Arabidopsis thaliana: one gene and its partner. The protein of the gene in region 2 purifies or fractionates together with the protein of the main gene of each other region. This does not show direct contact. Each region holds a gene or a part of one and is shown on either strand. Other genes may lie near its edges.

Region 1 (11,969 bases), on a different chromosome or scaffold from region 2:
AACTTAAGATTCTGATCTAAAAATTGAAGGGGCACCGATTGAACAGAGAAATAAACCACACTGAAACGAAACCACAAACAAACAGCCAAGAAAATTTTCACAGAACAAGCGAGAAAATTACGATCAACGAAGAACACATAGCCAAAATCAAGAGAAATTACCAGAGAATAGTTCGCGTTTCACGAAACACAACATTTAATTGGTATAAAATGGAAAAAAGGGCGGAGAGCGTTAATCTCGAGAAAAGGCTTTCGATCAAAATGCCAAAAAAAGGTAACGAAATAGTAGTAACTAAGAAACTTGCGTAGTTCGCAAGACGCCGAGTGGAAAATGAAGGAAAAGTAAGAGAGAGAAACAGATAAAAGAAAAGAAAATCTCCCAGAAAATTTCCAGCAAAGACGAGAAAATTTGTACGACAGTGAAAATTCGAGAAAAAAGAAAAAGAAAGAAAGTGGAGGAACAACCAAAATTGATCTTACCCCGAAGGAGAAACGCCAGAGCAAGGAGGAGGTTTCGAATTTTCCATGCATTTATTTATATAATAAACACTTATTCTTCCAGGAAATTAACATAAGGAATTAATCACACTTACCACGTGTACAACATTGTAATTTATTACAGCATTTATTTATTTCCCATGGTATGTCTTTTCTTTTCTGATTGGACTAGATTTAATTGCTCGTGTTCGAACAAGCGACCAAACCGGATCGACCAAGTGAATTTAATTCCATCAACTGGAATTCAACTGAAACAAAAGAAATCGAAGCTGACCAGAACCGATATAAGAACGAAGAGTGTTAATTGGTATCATTGACACGTGACTTTGGTTCCGATTTGAGAACGGAGTATTTAAGTGTCGTTTATTTTTCTATTTAAAAAAAAAAAAATGGGATAGAAATGTGAATTTGAGAATTCCCATAGAGATCTTGAGGAACATGGAGACGTCCTACATTGTATGAAAAGGGAAGAAGAAAAACGACCTTTCAATCTTTCTGATAAACCATTCTTTGGTATGAAGCAGATTCCTTAACAGAGAATCTTGAGGAAGGGGGTATTCATTTGGAACAGGAAGGAACATACCTTTTCATTCTCCATTAGCATTATCGACCGATCTTGCTTATTCTTTGAGGAGGCCACATGACACGAGTGACCCTTCCTTGAATTAAACCCAAAGGAATCTGCCAAAACAAGTTTATCCAGATCAGTCACATGGGACAGGCCTTGAAAAGAATATCATGTGCATCATCTACGTTCTAATTCTATGAAACTATGTGCTGGGGTTTGGAAGCAGAGAACTTACAGGGCCAAAGGATCTTGAGTCTAAGCTGGAAGTTTTGTTATCTCCTTCTACCCAACAATGACCTTCTGGGACTCTGATCACATCCCGAGAACTACTTATCCATTCACCAGGCATCCCGACTATCCTCTTTATGTATCTATCTCCGAAATGTGTCGGAGAGCTGCCACAGAGATGCAGTTCACATCGTCAGGAGCTTAATGATGTATTTCAAAATATACAACTTAGAACACATACGGCACAATGTCAGATGAACATTATAAAACAGATTTGAGACCTGAAAAAGCTGAGCTAAAGGAAGCAAAAAGCAAGAATAGAATCCAAAGAGTTTGTATTCATGACCAAATACATTATATCAAATGTACCAGAGATTGAATATGCACGAATTTCATGGTTCAGCACCACAAATAGGACAACAAACATTTGTAAGGTTTTAGGGAATTAGATTTAATAAAATTGTGAATGCTGTAAGCATCCAAGAAAAGGTTTAAACAAGAGATCAACATGTATTTAAGTATTATGTAGCTATAATCTTCCCTTGTCAAAGGATGACTCAAATGTGGCATTATAGGGAACATACCTGAACACTACAACATCACCACGCGCAAACTTGTAATCCTTAAGGCAAAATTTGTCCACAAGTACATAATCATCTGCATCAACATTTGAACATCTAATAAGAAAGAAGAATGGACCAAAATAAGCAAAAGTCTACCTTCTAGCAGTTTGTGCAGTAGGACACTTACCTAAATAAGAATTCCGCTGGGGATTAAATGTGGGAGACATGGAATCTCCTCTCACTGGAACAACGCTACAACATCTATCTGAAATGGTAAGCCCTATAATACTTCCAGTGAATGATTTCTTCGCCACTTGCCATAAAATATTCTGGATTCCCATGTCCAAGATGGCCTAACTAATATCTGATTCTCAGCAACATTCATAGAACCATCTATCTGCAACAAAACCAGAAGGCTTTATAGTTGATACATCATTTAAATGAGATTTAAAATACAACCAATACGATTATATCAAACAGAAAACCATTTTAGATCAAACACTACAGTCTAAAACCACAGCATTGTCAACCAGTTAATGAATCGGGTTTTCTAAATCTAATCTCAAACCATGCTAAAATTAGTGAACTAAACCTAATCGATTCATGGAACTGAAAGATGAAACTAATCTGAAGTGTAAGCCTAATCGAACCGTATCGAAATCGACCACAGGACTGTGAAAACAAAAAAAACGCAAAATCTAACGTGATTGTAATAACCTGAAAATGGAAGAAATCCAGGTGCAAAAGAATGAGAGTTGGAACACAACGACTCGCAAATCAATTTTGTGAAGCGGATGAGAGCAGAGAACCAGAGCTCGCGACGATGTGAAGAAGAAGAATCAGGGTTTCTCTTTTGCTCTACAAGGTTTAGCTGGTACCATAAATTAGCCGGTTCAATCAAAAAGTTCGTGTCGCGGATTTAGTCTGGTTTCTTCCGGTTCGTGACCGTTGGATTCGCGGTCAAAGGCCCGAAGGTCACTGCGGCTTTTAAACTGTTATTCTGCCAAAAAGTAACACTCTAACTTGTCTATAGAGTGTGGTTAACTGGAGTAAATCAGGGTCACTGCGGCTTTTAAACTGTTTTTACCGGTCTCTAATTTCAGAAGTGTGTTGGGGTTCAAAGTCAAAACCCCAACATTTTCATATTTATAATTTGTAATAATTACAAAGAACTCAGTAGTCAGTACTCAGTACAATGACATAATTCTAGTCCTATAGAACTGTTTCACGTCTCTTGACAATACACAAACTTACTGTCAAAAGCAGATTGCAACACAGGAAACGTGAAAAATCACCCTTTTCTCCTCCAAAACGATGTACATCTCTGAAACTAATGTCTGATGAAAAAAAACTTTCATTTGATCTGGGGTTTCTGTCTTGTCTTTGTGAACTGTATGTCTCCGTTAAGAACAGCTGCTACGAATTTCTCAACTTCCTCAATAGTCATATCGCCTTTGAATGTAGCAAACTTACCTCGTCGAGGCTTGTAAGCTATTAGGAGCTTATCAGAAGAAGTTTTGAACTCTGATTTGTCAAGGGAGCTCAAGAACGCAGATTGTTTTGTTGCGTCTAGAAGCGAATAGGATACTGTGTCCTGAGAACCTGTGGTTGAAGCTTGTCGTCGAGAGAGTGATTTCTGGGATACCTGGACAAAGAATAGAGCCGGAGGATTATTCATCATCAAGTCAAAGAACCAAAAGAGTAATGGCTTGAAGAAAGAACACCGCTTCACTTCTTGAAATTTATCAAAGAACCGTGTTTAACTATCATACTGAGCCAAAGGCATATAAATAGAGTATAGAGGTAGTGATATATTTGTTTACCTTGGACATTATTGACTGCAGCTTCTCTTTACCATTTGACGATCTGAAGGCACCAATGATACAAACAGGAGTGTTCTCCCCACAAATGGAGTCAAAATTTGGTCTTGACAGAAGAGGTATCTTTTCTGAGGACTCGTTAGGGGCTTGGCCCGCCTGACTCTTAGAAGAGACCTTCTTGTTCTTCTTCTCTAATCCTTCAAGCAATTTACCAAGTTCCTGGACAGCTGATTTCAGATTTTTCACAGTGATACCTGTTTTCAAGACTTGCTTCTCCCCATTCGATAACCAACCAACTATTGCCGGAAACTTGTCTACCCCCAACTTTTGTATCTTTGGATCAGAAGTATCATGGACCTACAAGATCATGAGAAAAAAATACTTTAGCTAAAAAGATTTCATGTCTAAGGAATTCTAATAATTAAGTTCAAATTTGCTGACTCGTCATTAAACGTGGACCAGGGAACCACCCCATAATTTCTACGACCATCAGACTCTCGCAGTAACAATAATTGTAGGAATAGTGATGTAAGTGGAAATTAAAGCCAAAATATAACAAACCTCTGTGTTGTAAAAGACAAATCGTCCATTGTACAAGCCACTTAGAACCCGCCAGATGACAGGAGTGTCTTTCTTTGTTGACAGAAGCAAAACTTTAGGAGTCTTTTGTGAGCTAACGGCAGATACATCGAATGTATTCAGATCAATCTTTTTTGAGAATCTCGGTAGATGTTCCTGGCAGAAGCTTTTCACCTTCTTTGCAACAAGCTCTTCAGTATATTCTGCTAAGGTAGCTTTGCCACTTGATGTGTATGAATAAACAAACATCCTTGGAGCCCTACGAGGAACTATGCCTAGTTGTTTGCAAAGAGAGGATTCTGTTTCACAATTTAATCGCCCAACCTGTAAACATAAAGTTAAATCACGTAAACAACAAAAGAAACTACACTTCTTCTTTTAAGAACGAAACAGAAAACCCAAAATCAACTAACTTGACAAGCATATGTTTTACCTTTAAAGCTCCTTGCAACGACTCAGCAACTTCCTCTATGATGGATTCATGGTACTGGCTTCCCCTCTGAGATGGAAGATACGACAACAAAAGCCAAGTCATCCCTTGGTCCACAACGTCCTTCTTATAGACCTGAGAGTTAATGGTTTTGATAGCTGCTACAGTACTGCTCTTTGATTTAGATTCAGCATTCGATGAGCTACCAAAGCCACCAAACTGCTCCTTTCCTTTAGAACTACCGCCCGAAAACATGGAAAAGATATCATCCATACCAAAACCAAAGGAGCTTTCACTAGGACCGCCAAACGAGAAAGAAAACGATTTGGAACCTCCCCCACCGCCCATATTTTGCCAACCACCAGGCCCTCCAAAGTTGAAACCACCACCACTTGAGGAGTAAGAATACCCACCATTACCTCCGGGAAACCCCGAATCAAATCCAGGCTGTCCTTTCTCATCTCCATAAAGATCATAGTTTTTCCTCTTCTCTTCATCAGATAAGATCTCATACGCTGTTACACATAGATAAGGGTTTAAACTTGTCAAAGCCAGATCAACAAAAATTCAATTTGTGCCACAAACACATGGCCATAGAACAAGAATAATCTTATAATATACTAAAAGATTCGATTACAGGACACATCTCCTAGGGAAATTTGATACCTACCATTATTAATCTCAGCAAACTTCTCCTGAGCACCCTTATCTTTGTTTTTATCTGGATGATATTTCAGAGATTGCCTGCCAAAAAAAATCACAAGCTACATGAGTAAACTATTTGTTGATCATCATTCGAATTATTAGCTTAATCAGCGACTAGAAACGAAGGGTGCTTACTTGTGGAAAGCTTTCTGGATTTCACGCTGCTTTGCATCCTTAGATACTCCAAGAACCTGAAGATGCATTCATTAGTTAATAATGTTTATAATCAATAGCAAAAACTACTGAGCAAAACCTAATATATCAAAAATCCTTCTTTTCTATAACACCCACAAATTTGTCAGCCCAAACTTCAATGAGAAAGGGGACAATCAAAAGTAATCATTATTTCCGGCCCCAATCAAAAGACTTGTGAATGGAAAGAAAACAAGATGAATCACAAACCGTACCTTGTAAGGATCAACGCTCTTCGCTTTCACATTCAACAACAACAATGTCGACACAAGAACAACAGATATCGCCAATCTTGTTCTCACCATCCCGAAAGTACAACCTCTCAATCTTTTTCTCTTTTATTGTTTTGTTGTCAACGAATCTTCTTCTTCCTCTTCTAAGCGTGTCTTATTCACGAAACTCAACGCTTCGAGAAAAATCGAGAAGGACATCATTAAATAGGTTCGCAGGGTTTAAAGGAAAAAAAGGAAATTTCTCGAATGACATATATATTTTAATTAATTTAGAGTATTCCCCATATTTAATAGTCTTACAAAAGACACCAAAATTGTCAATTGGATTAAGAAATTGGTAGGGGCAATTACTCACTTCAAAAACTAGCAGGGGTTGTTTCGTATTTCCTGAAAATAAATTCCGGTTGCTTCCCGTTCTCAATTTAAGGCGGGTATCATACGTGGCAAATTTGATGCAATCCCACGTATCTCCACCAATAAGATTTTAGCAAACACGAGCGATCGTTGTTTATTTGCGTTCACGCGCCGTTAAGATCACGCGCGATTATTAATTTGGGCTTATTTATTATAGGCCCAATAATCTGTAGTTAGCCCAAAACGAAAGTCTCCGGTTGGGTGATCGGAATCCGATCAGAGCGACGGTAAGTATTTCTTTTTTCTTCGACTGTTAAAAAAAAAAGAGGAAATCATTTTCACTAGTGACATTGTTACGTTTCAAGAGCTTAAGAGAAGTTGAAAGACGGAGGAAGAAGAAGACGATCTTTCTTCTCTTCTCTGTCTCTACTAGCTTCGCGTTTTCCTTCCTTCGCCGTGAGATTTTATCGTCGTCGTAACAAACCTCTAGGGTTCATCCTCGACGTTTCCTTGGTTAATTAGGTCAACAATATCGTCGGATCTGATGGCGTTATCGGCTTCCGATTTGCCGGCGATGTACACGCTATTAGCTAATTCAATGAGCGGTGACGAGACCGTTCGGCGGCCGGCGGAGGCGGCTCTATCTCTGTCGGAGAGTAGACCTGGTTTCTGTTCTTGCCTTATGGTAGCGTTTCTAATCTATGTGTCTTGTGGTTTCTGCAAATGTCAGCTTGATTTTACTCGCTCATTTCCTCTGGTTTGGTTGCAGGAAGTAATTGCATCCAAGGATTTGGTGTCCCATGTGGACGTTAGATTAATGGCCTCAGTGTATTTCAAGAACAGTATCAACCGTCATTGGAAGAGCAGAAGAAATTCATGGTAAGTTCAAGTTGTTTCCGGAATCGGCAATTCTACTTATAATTCTTTTTAGCTGGCTCGTTTAGATTCTTCGCTCTGCAAAGATACTACCCTGTATGTTAGGCCTTGACACTCTTTCTGGCAATTCTTACAGGAGTATGAGCAACGAGGAAAAGAGTCATCTGAGGCAGAAATTGTTGTCTCACTTGAGAGAAGAGAACTACCAGGTGTTGTAGCATTTACTTTTGATTTTTTTCCTTGACTACACCATTTGAGGCATATACTTTGTAAGCATATCTATCTGACTTTGTTTGCTTTATTGCAGATAGCGGAAATGTTGGCTGTTCTCATATCGAAGATAGCCCGTTTTGATTATCCTAGGGAATGGTCAGCATTTTCCCTTCTTAATTCATATTAACTGGACACTATCTTCCTTGATTTACTGAGTTTATGCATTGCGTGCTTCATGATATCAGGCCTGATCTCTTTTCGGTACTAGCGCAACAGCTTCACTCAGCTGACGTTCTGGCTTCTCACAGAATCTTTCTGATTCTTTTTCGAACCTTAAAGGAATTGTCTACTAAACGTCTCACTGCGGATCAGAAGACCTTCGCTGAGGTGAGTCTGCTACTAACATCAACCCCTTATCAGTTTCCTTTCTCCTCTTGAATGAATTTATTGTTGGACCAAAGCTTCGTTTTTTGCTTTAGTTAAGGATAAGGTCCAGTTTAATTTGTTGGCAGATCTCGTCGCAATTCTTCGACTTTAGTTGGCACCTTTGGCAAACTGATGTCCAAACAATTCTACATGGCTTTTCAACAATGGTTCAGAGCTATGGTTCAAATAGTGCCGAGCAGCATCACGATGAGCTTTTTCTGACTTGTGAGAGGTGGTTTTTATGTTTGAAAATAGTGCGCCAACTGATAATTTCAGGATTTCTAAGCGATGCCAATAATATACAGGTAGATACACTATACTTTTTCATGAATCTTTTTAGTTCATTATCACATTCACCTTCAGCTATCTCCCTTCTATGAACTTGTGGTATAGTTTCGCCAAATATGTGTTCCGTTCCCCGCACTTTCCATTTCTTCTGCTATCTTCCAATGGTTAAGTTGAAATCATAACCTTAATAGATTGGTTGACTACATCGGGATAGAGAAATCTTTCTTGCTCTCCGGCATATGCTCTTCATGCAGATAAAAGAATATACAGCTAACTCGTTTCTCTCAGGAGATACAACCAGTGAAAGAAGTCTCTCCTGCGCTCTTGAATGCGGCTCAATCCTTTCTTCCATATTGTGAGTTTTTTTGTGTGGTGGAAACTCTTTTTCATGCATATGACCTGTCAGCACACATATATATGTATGTATTGCTAACTTGTGTGGAGCCTCCATGCAGATTCATCTTTTCAAAATCGAGATCCTAAATTCTGGGAGTTTGTAAAGAAGGCATGTGTCAAGCTGATGAAGGTGTTAGGTGCTATTCAAAGCAGGCATCCATTTTCGTTTGGAGATAAATGTGCTCTTCCAGTTGTAGTGGATTTCTGCTTAAACAAGATAACGGACCCCGAACAGGCATTGTTGCCATTTGAAGATTTTTTTATTCAGTGTATGGTGATGGTGAAATCTGTGCTTGAATGTAAAGAATATAAGCCAAGTCGAACTGGTCGTGTGATGGATGACAACGGAGATACATTTGAGCAGAGGAAGAAGAATGCTTCCAACACAGTTGGTGGCATTGTGTCGTCACTTTTACCCAATGAAAGGATAGTTCTTCTCTGCAACGTACTAGTGAGACGGTAACACTCTTAACTAACAGTAAGATATGTGAATTCAAATTTTTGGGTCTCTCTTAGTTACCAAACTGTGGCCCTGTTATATTCATATTATTTCATGCCTTAGTTCTTATTAGTTAATTTGATAATACATAAATTTCAATACCAATGCAAAATCCAAAACATAATATGAGCTGGGGCAATCTTGTGGACACATAATGATCTAGTTGCTGTACATCTATGTATCTCTGGTCTCAATCTCTTCTTGCTGCGTGCATGGAATAAATGAGAAGGCAATGTTACTGTCGGGGCCTAGTGGAGCTAGTTTGAAAATTATTGCATGCATTAAGTTCATTTATTGTGTTGTGAACTGTGATGGTGTCATGGTCGTTGTATGAATGATGCCTGGAAGAAAAGTTTACTGAAATTAACCATCGACATTCCAACAGGTATTTTGTACTAACAGCAAGTGACCTAGAGGAGTGGTACCAGAACCCTGAGTCCTTTCATCATGAGCAGGACATGATTCAGTGGACAGAGAAATTGAGGCCTTGTGCTGAAGCTCTATATATGGTTTTGTTTGAGAACTACAGCCAAGTAAGTAGCAAATAGTCTTAGGCACTTCATCCTGTTCTGAAAAGAAGTCTGCTAATTGATATAGATATCATTAAACGCTATAACTGATGCGTATTCCATCTGTCTCTATAATTGTGGACAGCTGCTAGGACCTATTGTTGTGTCCATCCTTCAAGAAGCAATGAATAATTGTCCCCCTTCTGTTACTGAAATAACTCCTGCACTGCTTCTTAAAGATGCGGCATACGCTGCTACTGCATATGTCTACTATGAGCTCTCGAATTATCTTAATTTCAGAGATTGGTATGCTCTTGATCTTCTAATGTCTGAATCTTTTTTCCATCTGCTCTAAACATCTTGACCCTTCATTTTGCTAGCCAGCAGAATGTGACAAAAGTTTTGATTAGTCAAGTAATTATTGTACCCTTCTTAATGATCGGATGATTGGCTGCAGGTTTAATGGTGCTCTATCCCTTGAACTCTCAAATGACCATCCAAATAGGCGTATCATCCACCGAAAAGTTGCTATGATATTGGGACATTGGGTTTCGGAGGTACTGCTGTTTACTTGTTTTACACCGGCTTTACCATGTTTATGCAGCTAAGCTTGACAAGGCTTTGGAGGAAATCACATCTTATCTTTTTTTCTAAAAGCATCTTAAGATTATAACATAATTTGCAAATTGACATAATATCTTGTCCATAAGTTGAGTCAATGAGGGATAGCCATCTAAAAGCAGAATTGTTTCTGGTTATTTGTTACAAATGGCTATTAGGGTTAGTTACCCTGTTGGTTTGTGTTCTCTTCTCTACCCTAGTTTTCGTCAATTAGATTTTGGTTGAAAAATGGTTGGCTAATGGTAAATGGTTGATGATTACAACCTTTCAGATTAAGGATGACACAAAAAGAGCAGTTTATTGTGCTTTGATCAAATTGTTGCAAGACAATGACCTCGCTGTAAAGGTAGTCTCATCTTATCTCATCTTTGTTTCTTTTATCTTTCTGTCTTGCATTAAGGGCACATTCTCTCATTTTTTTCTTTATATGTATTGGTGACCTCTGAGATCATCTGTTTACTTATGTAGCTGGCAGCTAGTAGGTCATTATGCTTACATGTCGAGGATGCAAATTTTTCGGAGCAAAGTTTTCTTGATCTTCTTCCAATCTGTTGGGATTCATGTTTCAAAATGGTCGAGGTAGTTCAAGAGTTTGATTCGAAGGTACTTGATGTAGCTGCCTCAAATTCATTATAGCACTCCATTCTTGCCATTATACTTCCTTCGATGACTCATACAACATCTAACTATTCTCAGGTTCAAATTCTGAATTTGATTTCTACTCTTATTGGCCATGTTAGCGAAGTCATTCCGTACGCACAAAAGTTGGTGCAATTCTTCCAGAAGGTATACTAGCTTTCTTTGTGGATTTGTTTTTTTGTTTTTTCTTTTCTTGGTCCGCAATTTATAGCTGACTATCTATGTGGTTGACTTAAGAACAGGTTTGGGAGGAATCTTCTGGTGAAAGCCTTCTGCAGATCCAGCTTCTTGTCGCACTGCGAAATTTTGTGATTGCACTTGGTTATCAGTCTCCCATTTGCTATAGCATACTGCTCCCAATACTCCAAAAGGGCATTGACATAAATAGCCCTGATTCACTCAACCTTCTGGAGGATAGCATGGCAGTAAGTTTCCATATCATAACATGTATACCTTTCTTTTCTGCTGATACAAATGCGCTATATATTAATAACACTGCTCTACATATGCAGTTATGGGAAACCACACTTTCCTATGCTCCTATGATGGTGCCCCAGCTATTAGCATTGTTTCCCTATATGGTGGAGATCATTGAAAGAAGTTTTGATCATTTACAGGTGAGCTTTTTAAGTTTTCAAGGAGTTGTTTGATTCATTAATGACCTATACATGTGTGTGTTCAGATTTACTTCAACATGTTACGTCTTGAGACATTCAAATGACCATATATAGGTTGCTGTCAGTATCATGGATTCGTATATCATTTTGGATGGAGGAGAATTTCTAAATATGCATGCTTCAAGTGTCGCAAAAATTCTTGATCTTATCGTTGGAAATGTAAATGATAAGGGTTTACTCTCGATTCTTCCAGTGATTGACATCTTAGTTCAGGTGCGTATAATTTCCCATTTTCCCAATTGGTCGTATCCTTATTGTGATGGTGTTTAAGTTCCAGAGATACTTATTCTTCTGTTAAGTTTGTATCTAGACTGCATTTATTTTTGTATTACATAGCCTCATCTCTTGGGATACATATATATTGACCAGTAATGGAACTTTTGGCATGATTACACTGGAATTTTTTGTCATGACTCTCTATAAATGTGTTGCAAATTACGCCAAGTTTAACTTCTTGATATGAACATGTGCTTGTGTATTGAGCAGTGTTTTCCTGTGGAAGTGCCCCCTCTCATCAGCAGCTGTTTGCAGGTGAATTTTTCTAGTCTTCTTTTGATGGATGCAAAATCCATTTTCTTCCTTAATGCATCTGATGGAGTTGGTTTGTTCGTTTTCTCGCAGAAACTGGTGATTATTTGCTTGAGTGGTGGAGATGA
Region 2 (11,201 bases):
GTTGCTAATTACGACTCCCAAAAAAAATCATATGTTTGGTTTAGGGGTCAATGGTCGATGGTCAAAGAATCAAATGGTTTATATGATTTAATTCAAATATAAAATGGTCATGAATAACACATCAAATAAAGAAAGAAGGAAGACTACCCATATATATGGACTATGGATGGATCCAAGTTTTCTCACTGTCTTTTCCACGTGAACAATTTTGTTCCAAATATTAGCTATTCTTCTATATAATTAAACACAATAAAATATTTACTGTTTTCCCAAAAATAAATTACCAAAAAAGGACACATAATAATTAATGACAATTTTATTTTTTGACTTTTTTTTATTTTGTCCATTTATGTTTTTATTTTATTCGAGTTGGTATATATTCACAAAAAAATTGATTATTCACAACTTGATCACGTATCTGTTGAGAATCAAATTAAAGACCTCCAAAGAAAAGAGATTTAATGGGAAAAAAAAACTCCCGATGTGACTGTAAACTCTTCTCCTCAACAAAACTTGTGACATTTTTGTTACCTCGACAAGAAAAAAGAAGAAGAAGAAGAGAAGTTATGCTCGCTGAGTGCAAGCGTTGAGTTTTCTTTTCAAGTAGATATATCAGTTTGTTGAAAGTAAGTGTTGAGTTTACGTTTAATTGGAAAGTGAATTTTAGCTTGCTAAAATTAAATGTTGCGTTATCTCTTCGCATATAAATAGATTGCAGTTCTGTGGATGTAATTTTGAGTTCTATCTTCACACAAAAATAATTTAGCTCGTTGAGGCTGTTTTGAGTTCAATCTTCTTAGAAAAGTACTAAGTATTGAGTCATCTCTTCCGCTCAAGACCGCAAAATGACCAATGTTAGTTCCATATATAATATATCTAAGATCAGATATGGATGAGTTTGCGTGTGTGTAATTTGAGTCTCCTTCAATTATCTTAAGGATTTCATGTGATCATTCAACAACCCGCTGATTAATTCGCTCCAACACAAATACATATTTGGAAATCAACCTAGCATTTTAGGTACCCTCACTTCAAGATCATTTTGTATAAACGTAATATATAATCATTCTTTACGGTCCAAATATTGCGGACACATTGTTGGTTTTCTTCCAAACTTTTTCCGACGTCTTGTCCTAATATATTGATTTTGCCCGACAAAAAAAAGGTGTATAGAGTAATTAATCAATGGAAACCTAACATTTAACTTTGAAGTTTTGAAATTCCGGTTTGACTGACTAGTGGTAGGATAGAAATAACTTGAAACAAAACAACAACATAACTTAGAAAGATTTAGATTCATATTCTCATAATTAGAAGAAAAAAACTAGCTTAGACTCCGACTATACATCGTCAAAAGTACATGGAATAATTGAACAATAGGGCTTACTAGATATTTAATATTAATAAAATAAAGAATTTGAATCAACAGTTATCGCAATTATCACTATAAGAAGTACCATTGTATAAACTATATTGTTGCTCAAATTTTCTTTGAAATACGATAACATTTTATTTTATTACCAAATGAAACATGCCAATTTTGAAAAAAAGTCATGCCAATTATACCATGAGAAGATATATTATAGTATATCTTCCCACATATTCTTATATTTCGTAGTCTTCCAGAAAATGTAGTAGGTTTAACTTATCAAACACTTCAAGTAAGAAAATGAAATGCGTCTTTAATCAACGACGAATGTCCCGATCATTAGAACCTACCGTTCTTTGTTCATTTTACCTCTAATGTTTCCTACGAAGCTACCATTATTACGTAGATAACCATTTTTTATTAACAAAATATGTAAAAGATTGTTATAATCTGTTTACAGTTCAACTTTTTCAAATGTTAGGATATGCTCACCCGTACAAGAAATTACGACACATTTATCTCATCATATTATCTTTCGCGTATATGATTGGGCAAACATTCTCACTAATCTAAAGCAAATTTGAATGATCTAGTTTTAGAAAAATCCGAACCATGCATGTTAATAGAAAATATTCACTCGAGAGCCTTTAAAATTTTGAAAATCTCATTTTATATGAAAACGACCTTCTTTTTTTTTACTATGATTGTTGATTAATTGGGTTTATTTTTGCATCATATAGCAGCTTCAATTTTTTCTTCTTTTATTTCCAATATACTTTTTTATTTTATCTAAGTGATACATAACCTTTTTAGTGTTAATACATCTTAATTTAGTCATTATGAAGATTGCATGACAGATCTACAAAACTTCTTACAGTGACGTAGACGTAGTTTGATTAATTTTAATACATATTTGTTTTGGTAACACCTACAAACTTCTTACAACATGATCCACCGATGACCGATGTGTGAATGTGAACATTAACCGATTTGTGTGAATATGAACATTAACCGATTTGTGTGAATGTTCACTATATGCATGGACATTCATCAATATCCCAAAGTTACTTTATCGTGTACGTATACTTTATATCGATATATATCTACTTATTATGCACTTTTATTTAATTTCATAAAATTTTGTGCACTTTAATTTCTTTCTCCATCATTTTGATTTTCAGAAAAAAGAGCATGAATCAGTTATTTAGTCCAAAAAGATTGTAATTTTACAACACAAAAATGCTCCCAATATAAGTTTAAGAAAGTATCATCCCACTATATTTTACTTCAATTGTAGTTTTGAATTTTTCGTTTGTATGGAGTTGTAGCATATTTTTATAATCTTAAAACAATCTCATATAACTTTGTGGTGGTGAGTGGGTCATTTGACCCCAAATTTTTTTTTATTTTATGTTATTTAAGGTTATAAATAAATTAAAAAAAAATAGCATGGAGTCAATTAACCCACTCACCACAATTTAGCTCTACATGTGATTATATACTACCCGAGTTACCAATATTTCATATACATGTCGACATTTACATCAACATGTATATGAAATATCGGTAACTCATAAATCACTAGTAAATTACAAGTTGATATAAACATATCTACTTAATCGAGAAAATGACACATTCATGGAAGAAAGTATTGATTTGATGCGGAATTCATGCTTGGTATGCTACTTGTAACACACTTCAAATATAATTCTGGTATTTTTACCGTACGATAATCAATAAAAGTCTTTGATTTTGATTTGTAATTTGTCTTTATCTAAATTTAATAAATCTTTGCACAAATTTGCAAGCAACAATCTTTCGAGATGGACACGTACCTAGTAGTCCAATCCCAACAGTATAGTATATATCGACTTAGGTGGTTAACTAATGACAGATTCCATTTCTTAGCTAAATTTTGTTTTTAACCTATTTGGCTATTTTATGTTTTGACTCTTCGAATACTCCCTATGTTCCAATTTCCAAGTAGTCTTGGACTACTCTTGGCTTGTTTAAGGTCTTTTCATAATCATTAACTATCTTCTTTTAAGTATGTTTTACTAATCCTGAAACGTTTTCTTTCCACTGATTAATCAGCAACTTCTGCAACGTTTTCTTTCCATTGATTGACCCAAACAGCATGTTGTGCTAATCTTTAGAAATAAAACGTCACGATGTGTTATACTGATGATCACTTAAACACACGCCTTTTATTATCACAGCGACCATAATCGAACAGTGTCAGTGTCTTTATTATTCATCAGTTAATCTTGACTGTCCATTAAAAATTTGATGACGTGTCCTTCCAAGGTAACTTTTAACCTTCTAACGTCTTTTTAACTAAAGTAAAAGTAAAAATATAAAAAAAGTGAAATATCTAGAGAGAGACAGAGAGCCCATTTGGTGCGGAGGTTGACAGAGCTTTAGTTCCGTACAAATGGCGAGTAAGAAGGTTGACGGAGAAGGAAAAGGGAAAGCTATAGCGAATACGAGGATGCTTCGAAGCATGGATCGAAAGACTCGAAGCGATACTAAGCGAGATGGTTCTTCTTCTAAGCTCATGAAGATCGAATCTCCGGAGAAGAAGAAACGGAAGACGACGAAAGCGAAGAATGTTGGAGCTGCGAAGAAGAAGGTAAAGAAAGAAGAGGTAGCTGTGAAAATCGAGAAAGAGGAGGAGGAAGATGATGATGCTGCAGAGAAAGAAGAAGATGACGACTCCGATAAGAAGAAGATTGTGATCGAGCATTGGTAAACGAAATGTCTCTCTCGGCTTTGGTTTTTTTCTTTTAGAGTTTCTGGAGAAAATTGGGGGAAAATGTAGTAGCGAGTATTTAGGGATTTTGTTCTCCGATATTGAAGCTAATCTTTGGTTTTGTACACAATGTGTCATTCGCCTATATAATTGATTCAATTTCGTTGCTTAGGTTGAAATGTGATCTATTATCGTATTTGGTTATGTTTCTTAGTGTGGTTTTGATTGATGTTAGGTTTCGTTATGTTGCTGATGTTTGTTTGTTGTTGTTTTCCTGAAGCAAACAATGCAAATCATTCAAGGAGAGGGCTAATGAGGTGAAGGAAGGTCTAGAGGAAGCTGTTCCTGGCATCATTGTCACTGTGAATCCTGATAAGGTAGTGAATCTTTTGCTGCAGATGTATATATTTGTCATTGATGCTTGTTGTTTATGATTGTTTGTACCAATGTGTGCATTAATAAGCTAATTCTTTCCTTTTTGATCTGCTTTAACAGCCAAGGCGTGGTTGCTTTGAGATTCGAGAGGAAGGCGGCGAGACATTCATCAGTCTTTTGGTAAGTTTTTCACTCTCATACTTGAATGTAGTATGCCAGTTAGTCGCACTTATGTGAGTGACTTGTTCCAGTTGGATTGATGTTTCTCGTCGTGTCTGTATCTATTCGCATAACATAGTTTCTTTGATGGTATACTTTAAAAAGTGAAAATCAACTTTATTTTCTTAAGCTCACACGAAATTGAGGCTATTTTTGCTGAGTCAACTGATCACCAATGAGGTTTTGTTAGAGCATTCATAAAATGGCCTTTGGTTGTTTGCTTTTTAACTGAATCAAGTTGAGTGCTAAGTTGTTTGAAATAAGAACAAACTAGCAGATCTGATTGTTAGTGACTAGGTGTACAATAAGAAAATGTTTGCTTTCATGTTCTTTATTCTCAGATGTATATAGAAGATGATGTGATTTTCTTATGTAGGCTATGAAGCGCCCATTTACACCGATGAAGGAACTTAACATGGAAGAGGTCATTGCGGACATCGTAGAGAAGATTAAGTAACACAGCTAGTAGGTTCTACCAATGCCGAGTCTTTCGTTTCCTCCTTGGCCCTCGGCTAATAGGCTTCAATATCTGACTATCTAGAGCAACTGCAGGATTTTTTAGGCTTAATTTTGATATATTGGTGAAAACCATTTGAGCACGGTTTCGTCGTTTGGTAGTGCTTGATCGGCTTTGTGCAGTTTCTTTATGCTAAAACTTCCTGATATATATGGGATTAAGTCTGTCTTCGTAATGCTAGTTTGAAGCAATTCGTTTCGTTTCATTTATTGTTGGATTGTGTTTGGCGTTCAATTACGTTACGGATTGGATGAATGAAGATAAAACATTTAGTTACAATGTGGTAATACAAGCTTCACAGGACAGAACATCACACTTTCATTGTCTAATGATAAATGATTGAGGTACAATAATGTGAGTAGAAATTGTTAGTGTCTTTGATCCACTTCGTATCACCATTGCCTCTGTCTATGTTCGAGTCTCATTATCAGTTTAATTTATCCTCGACTCGCTGTCTTAAATCATCTTAGAACCCAACAAAGCTAGCCACAAACCCGAGAACAAGGACAGCACCGAAGCTCAAACCGGTGTTAGAAGCAGAAGAAGGTGGTTCAGCCTCATCAGCTGCTGCCATCTTCTTCTTGCCAGACTTATCTGGAGCTGGAGCTGGAGAATCACTTTCTGATGGTGCAGATGCAGGTGCGGTTTCTGGAGCTAAACCAGGAGGAGCATCTGCATAATCCCCTTCATCAGCAGGAGCTGGAGCTGGAGTGGCTGCACCCTTCTTGGGAGATGGGGCCGGTGGTGAAGACATGGGTGGTGGTGGAGGAACCTTAACCGGAGACCCGAGTCCAGGTGCCACAATGGGCATGCTGATCTGGACCACAGAGAGATTGTACGGGTTACGGAAAACGGTTGTGATGTATTCAGCGGTTTGAGGAGCGCCTTTCACACCAGAACCAAAGTAAATCTTTCCGTTAGATTTGGTGCAGTTGAGGAAACCGTTTTGCTGTTGGCCCAAACCGGTGGACTGGTAAAGGGTAGTGAGCAATGTGCTCTTTTCCTTGAGAGCCTTGAGCTTAAGCTCATCAAAGTAGTCAAGAACCACATGGTTCATAAGAATGTTCTTGACCTCTTCCTCGGGTCTACCAGAGATGGAACCGATAGCATCGTTGTTAAGGGCCAGCACGGTGATGGTCTGACGTTTGTTGATAATTGGTGTGAGCTCGGTCTTGGCAAGAAGCTCGGTCATGGTGCTGAATTCAGGGTATTTCTCGAGCACTCGGGTTATGTTAACCGCTGATACAATGGATGAAACAGCGAGTAAGATGGTGAGACAGAGGAGAGAAGAGGAGACCTTGAGACCCATCTTTGGGTGTCTTTGTTTATTACCCTTATTATTCTATAGTAAAAGCTCAAACCTCAAAGCCTGAGTTTGCAATAAGAGGATCAGGTTGGGTATATATACAGACCTTAAGAGGAGCTCAAGATTAATGGTGGAGAGACATTTACTTATATTTGTTTTGGCTAAATTTGAACATGACTTTATTGTTACCTCTATATTTGGCTTTAGACTGTTTTATTTTTACCTTTGGTTCTGAGGTTTGCGTTATTGATACAGAGCCAACGTAGACAAGTCCATCCTAATCTTTATTAAGTCAATTCTTCAACAACTTGAGGTCCGAAGCTAGAATCAGGAAGTTGTGACAGGGTCATAGGATGTTTTATTTTATTTATTTTATTTTTGAAGATATGTTTTACCAACAAGAAAAAAGGAAATACAACAATAAAAATGCTTTTAAGAAGATAATAAGAAAGAAAGGACAATATGGAAGAAAAAAAAGGAAATTACATTAACGCGTTAGAACAAATTATCCTCAAGAGTTTTCTTGTTTATATAAACATAACATTACACCTTCACTTCTCCACAATTTCAGATTTCACAACAATCTCCTCTCCCATACGACTAATCTTTTCTCTCTATCTCTGAGTTTTGTCTAATTTCACTACGATCGACGATGGAAACTGAATCAATCAAACTCGATGTTCAAGTAACGACTACGTCTCAAGATCCGTCGTTAGGGTTGTTAAGCACGGTAATAATCACTCTTGACAGAGATCTGGAGGAATATGACGAGAATGTTGATAGCATCAAGAGCCTCGGATCTTACCCTGATTCTTCTACTCCCGACGAGTCACTAATCATTCTGAAACTCCCAACCTCCGAACCAGACTACATCTATCTAACTCTCCGTAGCAAACTCAAAGATCATCTCCACGATCATGTCTTGTCCGAAGAAATAGCTGATCAGATTTTCGAAGCCCAACTAGGAACTCAAAGTATTGATCAGTTTCCGTTTCAACAACCTTTATTCATGCTAGTCTCCGTCAAATTGACACAGAAGTTATACACCTACGCGCCTTGTAACGCTTCTCCGTTGGCAACAGATTTGACTAAGAGAGCAAAGTAGAAGAATCGAACTCGCATCTGTTTCATGAAGATTGTGTCGTTACTCATGTTCTCTGTGGGGAACCTGTTTACGAACAACAAGAGTCTAATTAGGGTTTTATTCGTGTGTCGCAAGTCTAAGTTTAGTTTTAATCTCTGTCGTAGACGTTTAAGATGCTAATTAGGGTTTTCTCATTGTCTATGTATTGATCTCAATACCTTTTTGTTGACAACATTCAATGCAGTTTACTTTAATAAAACTCAGAGTCTCAATTTGAAATTCACTTAAAAATTGTCATTACAAGTTTGATACTTGTATGATACACAACATTGATGTTAAAATCGAATTTTTATTCAGATAAAAGACAAGTGAACTTGAAGAACTAAAATTCAGATTCTCGAATTGTAATGCTTACATTACAAGTTTGTTTCTTGTTTTTAACAAAAATCTTGATTGGCAAGCAACATAAATTTTTATCTGAACCAAGAACAGTATTCGTTTAGAAAGATGAAATAAACAAGGAAACAATCTAATACCAGACTTAAGCAGGCGTTCATTGTTACGGGAAGCGAGATGTTCAGCAGAAATATCGGCCTCTGCGAAGTGTGTATTGTGAATTTGTGATTTTGAGACATGTTCCTATGTGCCTGAGGGTCTGTGAATTCATGCCCTAAGCTTTCAACTTCTATCTTCATCTGAGACATAGCAGCAGGACCATGAAGCTTCTTTTGTAGAAGCCTTCTTAGCCTTTGACACTCTTTTTCAAGTCTTGCAATCTTTTTCACACCTTCCAGATGCTGCTTATTTGCGATTTCCGCTGACTTCAAACTCATGTTTTTCTCTTCATTGTTGCGGATCTCAATTTCTCTCTCAGCAAACTGAAGATTAGTCTTTCAGCTTTTCCACATCAGCTTCAGCTTTAGACCTCTCCTCACTAATCTTTACTATCATCTCAGATCGTTCTTGCAACGATCTAGTGAGTGCTGCATTGTCAGAAGCTACTCGGTGAAGTCCTTGGCTCAATTCATCGATCTTTTCTTCAAGCATAGCTTTGATCTTTCCCCAGTGAGTGGTCTTAGCAAGAGTCACATCTTGCAGCTTCTGGTCACTCTTATCTGCAGCTTTAAGAGTGTTACAGATTCAAGTTGACGTTTAAGTGCTAAAGAACAAAAGACAAATCAGTAACAAAAACATCTTTAAACAGTCTGTATTTTCTAAATTTCTAATACTAACACACAAGAATTGCTCACATAACATCTCAAGAACTATGAAAGGTTTTGTGCTCTAACCTGAAACAGCTGCTTCAGCGACTTTTCCATGTTAAAGAATCATTCTTTAGTCGTAAACTCAGAGTAAGCATGATTGAGTCTTTCTTTAAGATTTAACTTCAACTTCAAATAATTTGGCCTGATCCTCTATTTTACTCATACGTGTGTATGACTCGATAGTTATCTGAACATAGTCTGTGTTCTTACACTTCTCCTGACAATCAAAACACAAAAGACTTACAAATGAAATTTATAAATTATCAAAACTGACACATTAGGACTACTAATCTCATATAAAAGCAGAGATCCTGATTCTCCAGAGAAGCTATAGGACATAGAACAAACAAGAGTTGACTCATTTCCAACAACCGGTTTCACAGTCGTGGCTTTGTCCCAAGACTTGCTCTTCCATGGCCAATCTTTTTGGTAGTTTTAGCTTCATTTTTTTGGTATATATATATATATAGATTAGTTTCGGTTTCGAATTTTACAGTTGGATTTAGGTGAACTATATTGGTTGGAAACTCCTCTTAAATTGATATATAGGATTAAATGTTTTACATAAGACCCTAAAACTTTCGATGATTGCAGCACATAAACCACTCTTTTCAAGTATGTTGAACACATTAGCGTTTTGGATAATCCAATTTTCTACACGAAAAGCAACTTTTCACTTGAAATATGTTTTTGCCAGCTTAAGTCAGAGAAAACATGAATACTATAGAGGTCTTTAAAAAGCATTTGATAAAATATTAGGTTGCTCCCAAGTAACATATAACACAATTAGCACATCAACATGATGATAACCAGAAAAAAAAAAAAAAAATCAAAGAGATTGTGAAATATCACAATTTATCTAACAATCTCTTTATTATTGTAACAAAATATATTTTGGTTATTAGTTAAAGTATTTGAAGAACTACTCTTGCCGTCTTCGGGACGCACGCAGTGGGCTAGTCTGGGCCCATTGGGCTTGGGATACCTGGGTTATCCAAAAAAAAATATATATATATATATATATATTTTGGTTATTAGTTAAAGTATTTGAGGAAAATCAAACAACACAATATAAACCGGCAAATTACAATAGGAAAAATGGTTTGGTTTAAGCACTCTGGTATAACGAGATGTTTTACCAACAAGAAAAAAAGGAAACAAGGTAATATGGAGAAAAGGAAATTACATTAACGGTTAGAATAAAGAAAGGAAATTACAATTAACGCGTTCGAACAATTATAATCAGAGTTTTGCTTATATAAACATAACATTACACATTCACTTCTCCACAATTTCAGATTTCACTACAATCTCCTCTCTCATCTAATCTTTTACGAATCATCTTTCTCTCTGATTTTTTGTCTAATTTTCACTACGAGAATGGATACTGAATCATTCAAACTCGATGTTCATGTTCAGGCTTGGTCTCAAGGTCGGTCATTAGGGTTCTTAAGCACCGTAGTAATCAGTCTACATAGAGAAGTCGAGGAATTTCTCATTAAAGAGAAAGATGATAGTGTCACGAGTCTCGGTTCTTACCCTGATTCTTCTTGCCACGACCCACTAATCTCTCTGAAACTACCATGTTTTAAACCAAACGACGTCTTTCACCGTCTCCAAAGCCAACTCCACGATCATGTCATGTCCGAACAGATATCTTCTAAGATTGTCGAAGCCCAACGACAAAGAAGTCAAAGTTTTTACTCACAACAACAACCTTTATTCATGATTGTCTCTGTCAAATTGACTCAAAAGGTATACAGTGTTGTCCCTTGTATTTCTTCTCCGTCAGCAACAGATGTGGACCAAGAAGAAGAATCGGAGACTTGTGCAATCTGTTTGGAGAATATGTCGAGATCTGAGAATTATTGCCAGATGCCTTATTGTAAGCATTGTTATCATGAAGGATGTGTCACCAAGTGGGTGATTGGTCATAATAACTCTTGCCCTCTCTGTCGCAAACCTGTTGACAAATAGCAGAGTCTAATTAGGGTTTTATTTTGTGGTCTTTAGTGACTTTGTAAACTTAGCTTGTTTCGGAAGTGTGTTTAGGGTTTTCACTTTTATGTTTCATTGTTTTGTCTAGAGGCAAATTAGGGTTTTCAGAGTTTATGTATCTGTTTTTGTTGGTAACATGTAATTGCAGTTTCATTTACAAGTTTGATTCTAGTATGCGACATTGCAACACAAAACGCTGTCTTAAACCAAATATAGTTTCAGATTAAACAAAAAATCAACTTTGAACTTTTGAAGTTGGCTTACCAAATTGAAAGAAACAAGGAAACAATCCAACACCAGAATTAAGCATGACACT

The links.
Region 1: the proteins of AT2G24440 (region 2) and ATERDJ3A fractionate together in Arabidopsis thaliana (co-fractionation; one large-scale study listed by BioGRID). This does not show direct contact.

What each region holds. Positions count from the first base shown.
Region 1 is NC_003074.8:2,731,507-2,743,475, reverse strand, and holds ATERDJ3A (DNAJ heat shock N-terminal domain-containing protein), read right to left. Parts: upstream 6,180-11,969; 5' UTR 6,171-6,179; exon of another isoform or gene 6,120-6,170; intron 6,024-6,119; exon of another isoform or gene 5,989-6,023; 5' UTR 5,888-5,988; coding exon 5,798-5,887; intron 5,582-5,797; coding exon 5,526-5,581; intron 5,430-5,525; coding exon 5,356-5,429; intron 5,201-5,355; coding exon 4,689-5,200; intron 4,580-4,688; coding exon 4,238-4,579; intron 4,034-4,237; coding exon 3,680-4,033; intron 3,502-3,679; coding exon 3,211-3,501; 3' UTR 2,927-3,210; downstream 1-2,926. Other genes in the region: AT3G08980 (Peptidase S24/S26A/S26B/S26C family protein), read right to left, coding at 1,101-1,178, 1,301-1,460, 1,878-1,950, 2,044-2,197; AT3G08960 (ARM repeat superfamily protein), read left to right, coding at 6,714-6,854, 6,939-7,048, 7,182-7,254, 7,353-7,414, 7,504-7,645, 7,771-7,989, 8,261-8,327, 8,428-8,827 and 11 more. UniProt on the Arabidopsis thaliana protein: Regulates protein folding in the endoplasmic reticulum (ER) lumen. Functions probably as a co-molecular chaperone that is required for normal growth of pollen tubes under high-temperature stress.
Region 2 is NC_003071.7:10,387,321-10,398,521, forward strand, and holds AT2G24440 (selenium binding protein), read left to right. Parts: upstream 1-3,754; 5' UTR 3,755-3,803; coding exon 3,804-4,117; intron 4,118-4,401; coding exon 4,402-4,498; intron 4,499-4,616; coding exon 4,617-4,676; intron 4,677-5,091; coding exon 5,092-5,172; 3' UTR 5,173-5,698; coding exon of another isoform or gene 5,699-6,541; 3' UTR 6,542-6,614; downstream 6,615-11,201. Other genes in the region: FLA3 (FASCICLIN-like arabinogalactan protein 3 precursor), read right to left, coding at 5,699-6,541; AT2G24460 (C3HC4-type RING finger protein), read left to right, coding at 7,191-7,643; AT2G24470 (filament-like protein (DUF869)), read right to left, coding at 8,508-8,743, 9,260-9,302; AT2G24480 (Zinc finger, C3HC4 type (RING finger) family protein), read left to right, coding at 10,268-10,864.